2 linked regions of the Caenorhabditis elegans genome follow. The protein of the gene in region 1 interacts with the protein of each later gene in a pairwise test. Each region holds a gene or a part of one and is shown in the gene's direction. Other genes may lie near its edges.

What was found.
Region 2: the proteins of hlh-6 (region 1) and hlh-2 interact in a two-hybrid assay, tested with the Caenorhabditis elegans proteins (2 studies listed by BioGRID).

Annotation. Positions count from the first base shown.
Region 1 is NC_003280.10:9,612,818-9,616,580, reverse strand, and holds hlh-6 (Helix-loop-helix protein 6), read left to right. Parts: upstream 1-1,752; 5' UTR 1,753-1,768; coding exon 1,769-1,979; intron 1,980-2,120; coding exon 2,121-2,424; intron 2,425-2,468; coding exon 2,469-2,567; intron 2,568-2,874; coding exon 2,875-3,067; 3' UTR 3,068-3,118; downstream 3,119-3,763. Other genes in the region: hal-3 (uncharacterized protein), read left to right, coding at 5-113, 161-302, 354-578; T15H9.4 (uncharacterized protein), read right to left, coding at 3,178-3,288, 3,336-3,563, 3,615-3,721. UniProt on the Caenorhabditis elegans protein: Transcription factor that regulates the development of the g2 pharyngeal gland cells and pharyngeal gland function and thereby is required for feeding.
Region 2 is NC_003279.8:7,189,965-7,195,575, reverse strand, and holds hlh-2 (Helix-loop-helix protein hlh-2), read left to right. Parts: upstream 1-1,655; 5' UTR 1,656-1,668; coding exon 1,669-1,813; intron 1,814-2,163; coding exon 2,164-2,651; intron 2,652-3,490; coding exon 3,491-3,792; intron 3,793-3,904; coding exon 3,905-4,046; intron 4,047-4,213; coding exon 4,214-4,336; 3' UTR 4,337-4,788; downstream 4,789-5,611. Other genes in the region: plag-15 (PhosphoLipase A2 Group), read right to left, coding at 5,086-5,554. UniProt on the Caenorhabditis elegans protein: Transcription factor which binds the E box motif 5'-CA[TC][AG]TG-3'. Plays a key role in the anchor cell/ventral uterine precursor cell (AC/VU) decision; required for VU fate.

The DNA of each region.
Region 1 (3,763 bases):
TCAGTGAAAAATGCCAGTGGACTTTTGGAGTATGATATTCAGTCCCTTCATGCTCGACGCGATCACCTTGACAATGCCGTGGAGCAGTTGAAGAGCCAATTGAGCCGGCTTGAGTAAGTTCTTTCTTTTAAATTTATATTTTTATTTTCCAAATTTGTAGTTCGAGCGTCGCAATTCTGAAATCCCAACAAATGGCCGTGAAGAGTGTTTTGGAGTTGAGAGAGGACGAATATCTCGCTGATGATGCGGATTCCAATTTGCCTGATGAATTTTTGAAATTTAGCAAAATCAGCAAGTTATGTGTAAGTGGAGAGATTAGATAAACTTTCAACTACAAAATATGAACTTTACAGGCCGCTTCTCTCCAATCGTACGAAAATGTAAAAAAACGAAACGAAGAAATGCAAAAAGAGCTGATTGCCGAACGAAATCGGCAACGAAAGCTTCACGACGCGACAATGAAAATGATGGAAGAAAAGGAAAGGGTTCGAGTTGAACAGTTGGAAGATTTGTTCAAAGACTTCTCATTGGAACAACTTACACGGCTCAGGGATCGAATTCGTCAGGCACAAAAATAAAATTTTTTTTTTTTTCGTTTTGCCCTGTGATCTACTTTAAGTTTTTAGTATCGTGTTTTTAATGTGCCATATAAATTATAGCGTTGTGTGTCAGTATTTTATAAGTTTTCAGAAAAGGAACAGGATCAATGGGTTCCTGTAACTGACTGATCTTATTTTTATTTTCATCGAAAGTTCCTATTTATAAAGTATTCAGTAATTTTAAAATTTTGATTCTCAGCATCGACAAATTTGAAGAAAGCAGACACTTAAAAAATTCTGAAAAGTATTTTTTTAAAGTTAAGACAATTCGCATTGAGAAATAATATACATATTGGCCAGGCGCGAAGTTTTATGCCAAAAATACGGTACACGGTCTCGACACACATTTTTTTGTTGAATGCGAGAGGTGTGCTCCTTTAAAGAGTACTGTAATTTAAAACTTTCGTTTCAGCGCAGCTTTCAAGCTTTCATCGATTTTTAAGTTTTTTTACAATTAAAAAAAAATATTTATTTATATTTTTACAATTCAAATGTAACAACAAAAAATATATACATTTTGTCAAATCACGAGGAAAACTGTATTACTCTTTAAAGGCGCACATCTACTCGCATCTAACAAAAATGTGCCGTTCCGAGACCAGGTACCGTATTTTCGGGTAGGAGAGGTAATAAAGGGTTAGTCGTGCCAGGACCTTTCGAAATTTTATATGAAAACTAGTTTTTCCCACTGAAATCACCTACAATGATGAAAAATTGCAATCTTTTCGTATATTCTGATGATGTGCAGGTGTTAATTATGGGAAATTACCATATTCAATCAAAACAAAAAATGATTGATTATCATATAGCTCGCATACCAAACATCTGCTTCAGTATTTACTCAAGAAATATACCTAGAAAATGACACTGTAAATATAATACAAAATTCATTTCGGAAATTCTGTTTTTGCGGGTTTTTTTTTCCAATATCGATGTTTCCCAATTGCCCTCAATAAATAATGTCGGAAGCCGACAAATGATGTGCTCATTGTGCAAAACCACATTTCGGTGGCTAACAAATAAATATCATGCATGGATCGCCTTTTTCGGGTTGGCTCCCCGATTGTTTGCACAGCTTATATTTACTGTAGGCCCCGCCCACATTTTACTGTTTAGGTTGTCCCTGTGGATAGTCAGTTATAGATAACCTGCTTAGAATAGTTCAAAAAATGTCAATTTCCCAAAACAACTTTTTGACCATGTTCCCTGTAACTTATACATTTGAGAATGGGGTCTACTCGACTATTATCAACCAGAATACTATTCAAACCCCGATTCCAAATCCGATTCAACATCATATTCAAAATCATATTCAAACTTCAATTCCAAATACAAATCTTCTACTGGAAAATGTTCAAACCGATGTACAAAAACTAATGGGTGAGTGAATGTTTTATATTGCACCCGATTATTCAAAGGTGACAGCTTATATCTCTAAAAATCTAAAAATTATCCAAATGGAAACTAACTCCAATAAATGTATTATGTATGTACTTATATCATTTTTTGAATATATTACAGTACCACTAATCGATCAGCAATTCCACATTCCAACTTCCACCCCACTCCAACTTGCACCAATCCCGACTCAAATTCAATCTCAACTTCAACCACAAATATCTCAAATACCTATTCACAATCAACCACAAATTCAAATTCAAAGCCAAGTTCAACCTCAACTTCCCACTCAAAGTCAGCCAAAACCTTCTTCTAAAGCGTCATTGGACACTAGCTCAAACGCCTTTAAGAAATATGTGAACCCATTTGCACCTGAAGCTACAGTACCCCTGCCTGTTGAACTTGAAGATCAATACGGACCATATAGGTAAGATCATGCTTTTATTAAAGTTTGAAAATTTTAATTTTCAGCTCATCAGTTTGGAAACGAAACGAACGTGAGCGATGTCGAGTGAGAAATGTGAATGATGGTTATGAGAGACTGAGAAAACATCTTCCAGTTCATTTTGAGTAAGTTTCAATGATTTTCTAAAAAATTAAAAAAATGCTTCTGGAAATTGTAGGGAAGTTGTAGATGAGAAAATTCATTTAGAGTAAAGTTTACCTCAAATTTACCTTGAAATGCTATTAAATCCCGAAGGAAACTCGGGAATCCCCGTGACAGCTATCTGGCAGCAACTCATGCAAAAGGCTACTATTATAATGCCAAGTATTTCCAAGATTTTGCTACCAAAATTTGGCTAGTGACACGTACCTATCAAAACATTTAATCAATAATTATCTTCCTATAGATACAGTTGACAATAATATTTTCCAGTGAAAAGCGAATCTCAAAAGTTGACACTCTCCGGCTTGCAATCCGTTATATCAAACATTTGGATAACTTATTGAGGAGCGAGCTTCATCAGTATAACTGCAAGTGCTTCAATGGATTCCAAGAGGAGTCCGAAGGAAATATTTTAATCGATATTTCTACGTTTAATTTTAATTCGAGTAATAATGCTATGTGAGCGGATTGTTATTTGGAATACGAAATAAATTAATAAATAGTGGATAATAACTGTCAAGTTCTAGAAAACACAGAAACATGTAAAAACGATTTATTCACACATATCTCTGCCTAATTGAACTTTTTCTTAATGTATGCAGCAATTCCAGACATAGGCTCGCATTTCTTCAGGTCATCCTCTTCAGGAATATCCGATGTGATCTTTTCGTGGTCGGGCTGCTCCTGTAAATTAATATTTTTATTCACAATTTTTGAAAAACTTAACCTACCGCAAAATTGATAGCCGAATTCCTGTCCTGTTGTCTAAAAATGCTTCGCTTCTTTGGAGTGCTTACAAGAATCGCAACAGCAGCAGTTGTGCTTAACGGGAAGTAAACCGATCGCTCGATTGCATTTGTTGTGGATTTGGCCTTCACTAATGGAGGTGGGCATCCTTCGGCAGAGCCAGGCGCAGTTGGTGGATCGATCATGAGAGTAGGCCCCTTGTCGCACGGTGGCTGGAAATAATAATTGTATTTTTAGAAAACGTATTCACTATTTAAGCTTACAACTTCAGTGGAACTTTCTACAATCCATTGCTTCAAGCATGCCAACTCCCGCAATGCAATCTCCAAAGCATCGGAATGCAATGGAAGACTGTTTGTTTCACTGGAGTCTGAAATTATAAAGTTCTCAGAAGAAAACCATTTTCAAAAAC
Region 2 (5,611 bases), on another chromosome or scaffold:
GACACCTCCCCAAATACTCTCGAGAAAAAAGTTCCAGTACCGTATACTTTTGACAACATCTGTCAAAAAATGCACTTTAGAGACGGGCATTGGAAGTATCATTTCTTTTTATAATTGTTGGTTTATTACCACAGAGAGACAATTTTAGGATATGGCTCAAGATATTTGAAGACTCGAGTAGTCCCACAGTATTGTGATTGCTGAAACTTCTGTTGTGAATATGAGTAACTTTATTCTAATAAAATATACCCCTTTCCTGTGCACACTCTTTCTCTCACTCTTACCATATTCTGAAGAATTAAAATTTCAGAGATCCCTACAAAACTCTAATAACATGCTTCAAAAATGAATGTACTCCCTACAGTCGGGTGGCGACATTTTCCCCCAAGAGAGCTGACCTCTTCTATTCATTCAATCCCCTTATTCATTCAATCCTTCCCCCATTTTCCTCTCATTTCACCCAAAAAAGACTGGTGAATGAATGGTGGGAGAAGAGATGGAGGACCCCGGGATAATAGAGGATTGTGTGCTGCAGGAGGTAGAGAGAGATGGTTGTGGGCGTGACCTCTCCCGATCATCGTCTCTGCGTCTCTTGGATGTAGACGGTCCCCGGGAGAAAGAATGTCTGCGTCTATGTACACCAATATACTGTTTATGTCCCTTGAATGGGCTTTTATACGCGTCCCTCCACTACCACCACCCTCGAAGAACCATTCCTAGCCACCCGCATAGCCGCTAAGAAGGGGGGAGTGCACTCTTTTCGTCTTTTTTTGTGTCTAAATCTGTTCCGTTTACTAGCTTTTCAAGTTCATGATCTTACTGTAATAAAACATAGCACATATTTTGAATGAAATACATAATGTATCCCATCTTCTGATTTTGAAAATTAAAATTTCTCTCCTCCCAATTTTCAATTTTGGATCTTTTACCAAATAATTTTGATCTGCATTACTTTTTCTCACTCCTACAATGTTTACGAATCCTTACCAATTTTGAATTTAAACAAGAACGCAAATGTATTGTAGGGCAGTTTTTTTTTCAATTATTGAGTTTATCAAAAAATGTATATTTGCATCCGAAATGTTACTAGCTCACGTTTAAAGCTTTCATATATATCTTATCCTACGTCTGAATTTAAACTAATTATTTAGATGGGCCTGAAACCCTTTGATCCATCACCCCTTTACTGTTATTTTATTGCTCTTTCGGGATGTCATCCATCCGATAATCATCTACAATGACATCTACATTTACAACTATTTCTTGATACCATCTCAACATCATTACCTCCCTACAAATTGTTCTCCTTCAAGTAACTTGCTCCTAATAATTTATACCGGAACTTAGTAGATCTATTGTGACGTCACAATTATTATTCTTTATTGATCTACCTTGCCTCTTTTGATCTCGTTTGCCTATTTAACCAAACGAGGAGAATCGATTATTTTCTTCTTTTTCTTATTCTCAATATTTCTTCAAATGGGGTTGTCTTGACGAAAATCTAATCAGAATATATTTACTAACCTAATTTTTTCACCTGCTGCTCCAGCCCAATTCCCTACTTATTCCCTTTCCTCTCCCCGCTTCTCCGCTGACTTTATTTCTTTGACATTACTACTATAATCGTCTTTCATATCATTTCGCAGAAATAAAGTTTTCAGAACCTCAATGGCGGATCCAAATAGCCAACTTACGTCAGCCACAACTGTTGCAACTGCCGCCATTGCTCAACCACAGGTTATGCTTCCAAATGCATATGATTATCCTTATAATATTGATCCGACAACGATTCAGATGCCTGATTATTGGAGTGGTTAGTCTTTTTTTCATTTGAAATCTATTATAATTTCAATTATATCATTTGGTAAACCAAACCAAACATGTTTTCGTGAATTTGTTAAAAGTCGCTTGTAATCAGTTAGAAATATTGGATAAATTGCAGAAAAAGGATATAAGTTTGGTATTACTTATCTCGAATTGTTGAATTGTTGATTTTATAAGCTCGCAAATTTTTAAAATTTACTTTAAGTTGAAACAAAATGTATAACTCTTTTAATGTTCTAAAATTTTGTAAAAATCTGGTTTGCTCTAGTAAGTAGTTTATTAACCAAAATGTTTATATCTCATTTCTCAAGTGCAAGTCATCTAAATAAACATTTTCAGGATACCATCTCAACCCGTATCCTCCGATGCAAACAACGGATATTGATTATTCATCAGCCTTCCTTCCAACACATCCACCAACTGAAACCCCTGCTTCCGTAGCTGCTCCAACTTCTGCAACATCTGATATTAAGCCAATTCATGCAACATCATCCACTTCAACGACGGCTCCATCTACTGCTCCAGCTCCAACTTCAACTACTGATGTGCTTGAGTTAAAGCCAACAACAGCTCCAGCCACGAATTCTGCAGAAACATCAGCGATTGTTGCTCCACAGCCTCTTACTAATCTTACCGCACCAATTGACGCAATGTCATCAATGTATACATGGCCACAAACATATCCAGGTTACCTTCCACCTTCAGAAGATAACAAAGCAAGTGAAGCTGTTAATCCATACATCTCAATCCCTCCAACATATACATTTGGTGCTGATCCATCAGTTGCCGACTTCTCATCGTATCAGCAGCAACTTGCTGGACAGCCGGTACGTTTCTATTCTTCTTGGTTTTATTCGTGTTTTACTGTTTTACCACAAGTTAATCTCGACGAATGATTGCTTGGCCCTCCTCAGCCGCCAAGCATTCACGTATGCATAATCCGCTTCCTTTTGATGTGAGCCGCCGCCTTCTGAAGATTGAGATGCATGCAAAAGGCGGCATCTTCTTGAGAAGAACACCCTGTGCGCACTAAACGACCTCCAAAAAAGTCACTAATGTAAACATAAAACAAGGAGAAACATACAGAAAAGATGGATTAGTTACATAATTAGGCAAAGTTTATCGCTTTTTTTGTTGGAGGAAATTTTTGAGATTCTTTCAGTTTTCTTTAAAATAATTTTTGCCATATGACAATACTAAACATTAAGATTCTGAACTACTGTTGTCGTGAACAAAGTTTTGAGACCCTGATGACATTTTTTTGCGTTCCAGTCTTGAGAAATCTAGAATAATATGGTAAAATCCCTGTATCCAACCTCTGACTAGTGAATAACTAAATTGGCCAAAATTTGAAGCTCTTGCTTTTTGCATTGTTACCCAATAGCCGGTCACATTTTCTGATGGTGTCCTCGAAAACCGAAGGGGGCTATTGACCGACGTCGCCGCATGATTAAGTGGTGAACAGAGACGGTCACATTGCGGGGTTCAGTACATTAAAGAGATCGATTGATTTGACTCGGCCCCCAATAGTACCATTTGAGAGAATTAACTGACTAGCAAGGCAAATGAAATTAATTCTTTGTTTTGTTTCATTGAGAGAAAAAGTTGAGTAGTTTTAGATGAGGGTTATAGAAATTATAAAACCAAAAACAATGAAATATTGCAGAATGGTCTTGGTGGAGATACCAACTTGGTTGACTACAATCATCAATTCCCACCAGCCGGTATGAGCCCACACTTTGATCCAAATGGATATCCAGGAATGACCGGAATGCCACCAGGATCAAGTGCATCATCTGTTCGAAATGATAAGTCTGCATCAAGAGCAACGAGCCGTCGTCGGGTACAAGGCCCTCCATCTTCTGGAATTCCAACTCGCCATTCATCGTCTTCAAGGCTTTCTGATAATGAATCAATGAGTGATGACAAAGATACGGATAGGAGATCACAGAATAATGCTCGAGAAAGGTGAGGAGTTTTTTACTTTTAAGACGTTTTGAATTGAACATTGGAAATTGACAATTACATAGTAATTTAATCGAGATATCTCCAAATCTAATCTAATACAAAAAACTTACAGAGTACGAGTTCGTGACATCAATTCGGCATTCAAAGAGCTCGGACGAATGTGCACACAGCACAATCAGAATACAGAACGGAATCAAACAAAATTGGGAATTCTACACAATGCAGTATCTGTGATTACACAATTGGAAGAACAGGTTAGATAATTTTTCATATTTTAAAGAAACATTCAAATTGTGAACAAAATTAATTGGCAATTGTTCGACTGCTGTATTTTTGACTTTGAAGCACATAACATTGCGATGGAATTTATTCGAAAAATTTAAACAAAACACTGAACAAGTTGAAATTTATAATTTTACAGGTTCGTCAACGAAATATGAATCCAAAAGTGATGGCTGGAATGAAAAGGAAACCTGATGATGATAAAATGAAGATGCTTGATGACAATGCACCATCCGCGCAGTTTGGACATCCACGGTTTTAAATTTAAAAATTGACTTTTTAAGCATTTCAAACTATCATTCCCAATCTTCTCCCAATCATCCATACGGCTAAAACTCTCTAGCATATTGTTTTTTTGTTCAAACTATTCAAATGTTCCCCTTCATCTCCCTCCGGATTGGAGGTCCTGTGATTTCTCAACTTCAATCAGTTTTCAGTTTTAAAAATTTTAAACTTTATTACAAGATCATCACAATTTTCTGTATGTTTTTAATTTATTTTCTCCTCTAAATTTAAATCAATCAATAGCTAATTCTAATATTTCAAGTATTAAAATTAACTTTCATATTATTCATTCATTCAATCAACTTCTTCCAACTTGTCTTATTTTTTGTGTGTGTGTATGTGATAAACCATAGCTAATTAGTATCTACTTGAAATGAAATGGTCCACTCAAAAAAAAAGACACCGCCAACTAATTTCACACATGAATTACTCTATTGGGTAACTGTTTCAACACTTTAATTATCCAAGCTCCGATGAAGTGCTAATGTCCTTCGCAGTATGGATTCCACTTTATGTTGAAAGGGATTCCCATTTATAATTAGACATTTAGTTTGACTTTCTAAGTCGTTGAAACGAGATGTTTTTTTCATGGTCTGTCAAAACTGATGTATAGGAATATTGGATGTATAAAATGTCAACAACGGGAAAAAATGTGATACAAACATAATTCATTCACCTTGATCAAAACAAACAAAATTTTAAAATTCAGAACCCTTTTTGCATCACTCAAATTAACTGGAAAATGGCTTTTCGGACAAGTTCAATTGCATTTGGATGTTTAAGAATTGCCATGTGATCAGCTTGAAATACTTCGTGTACAGTAACCTTATAACCATTATTATTTCCAATCCAATTAGTGCACACTGTAGCTGATTTTTTGTTCACTGTCCCGTCTCCATCACCCATGAATTCAGTTGGTGGATAATCTGGAAAGTATCCGGGAGCCCATGAAAACTTTTCCGGTGTGGGGACTCCTGTTCCATAAATACAATGAACTGGAACTCCTGGAGAACTTAAATTTCCATTCAGACGGGCGGCCTGTTTGTATTGTTCCCATCCAACCATGTAATTAATGTCTTGAAAGAATTCTTTAATATTTCCAACAGTGTAGTTTTTGTCAGCAGTTGTCGCTAATATTTCATGTGGTTTCCATGCAACTGGACTTGGAAACAGAAAGGCCGAAGAGGAGAATGATCTGAAGAACCAAATAAGTTGAAGAAAAACATAATTTGGTAGTCTTAGCACCATAAGA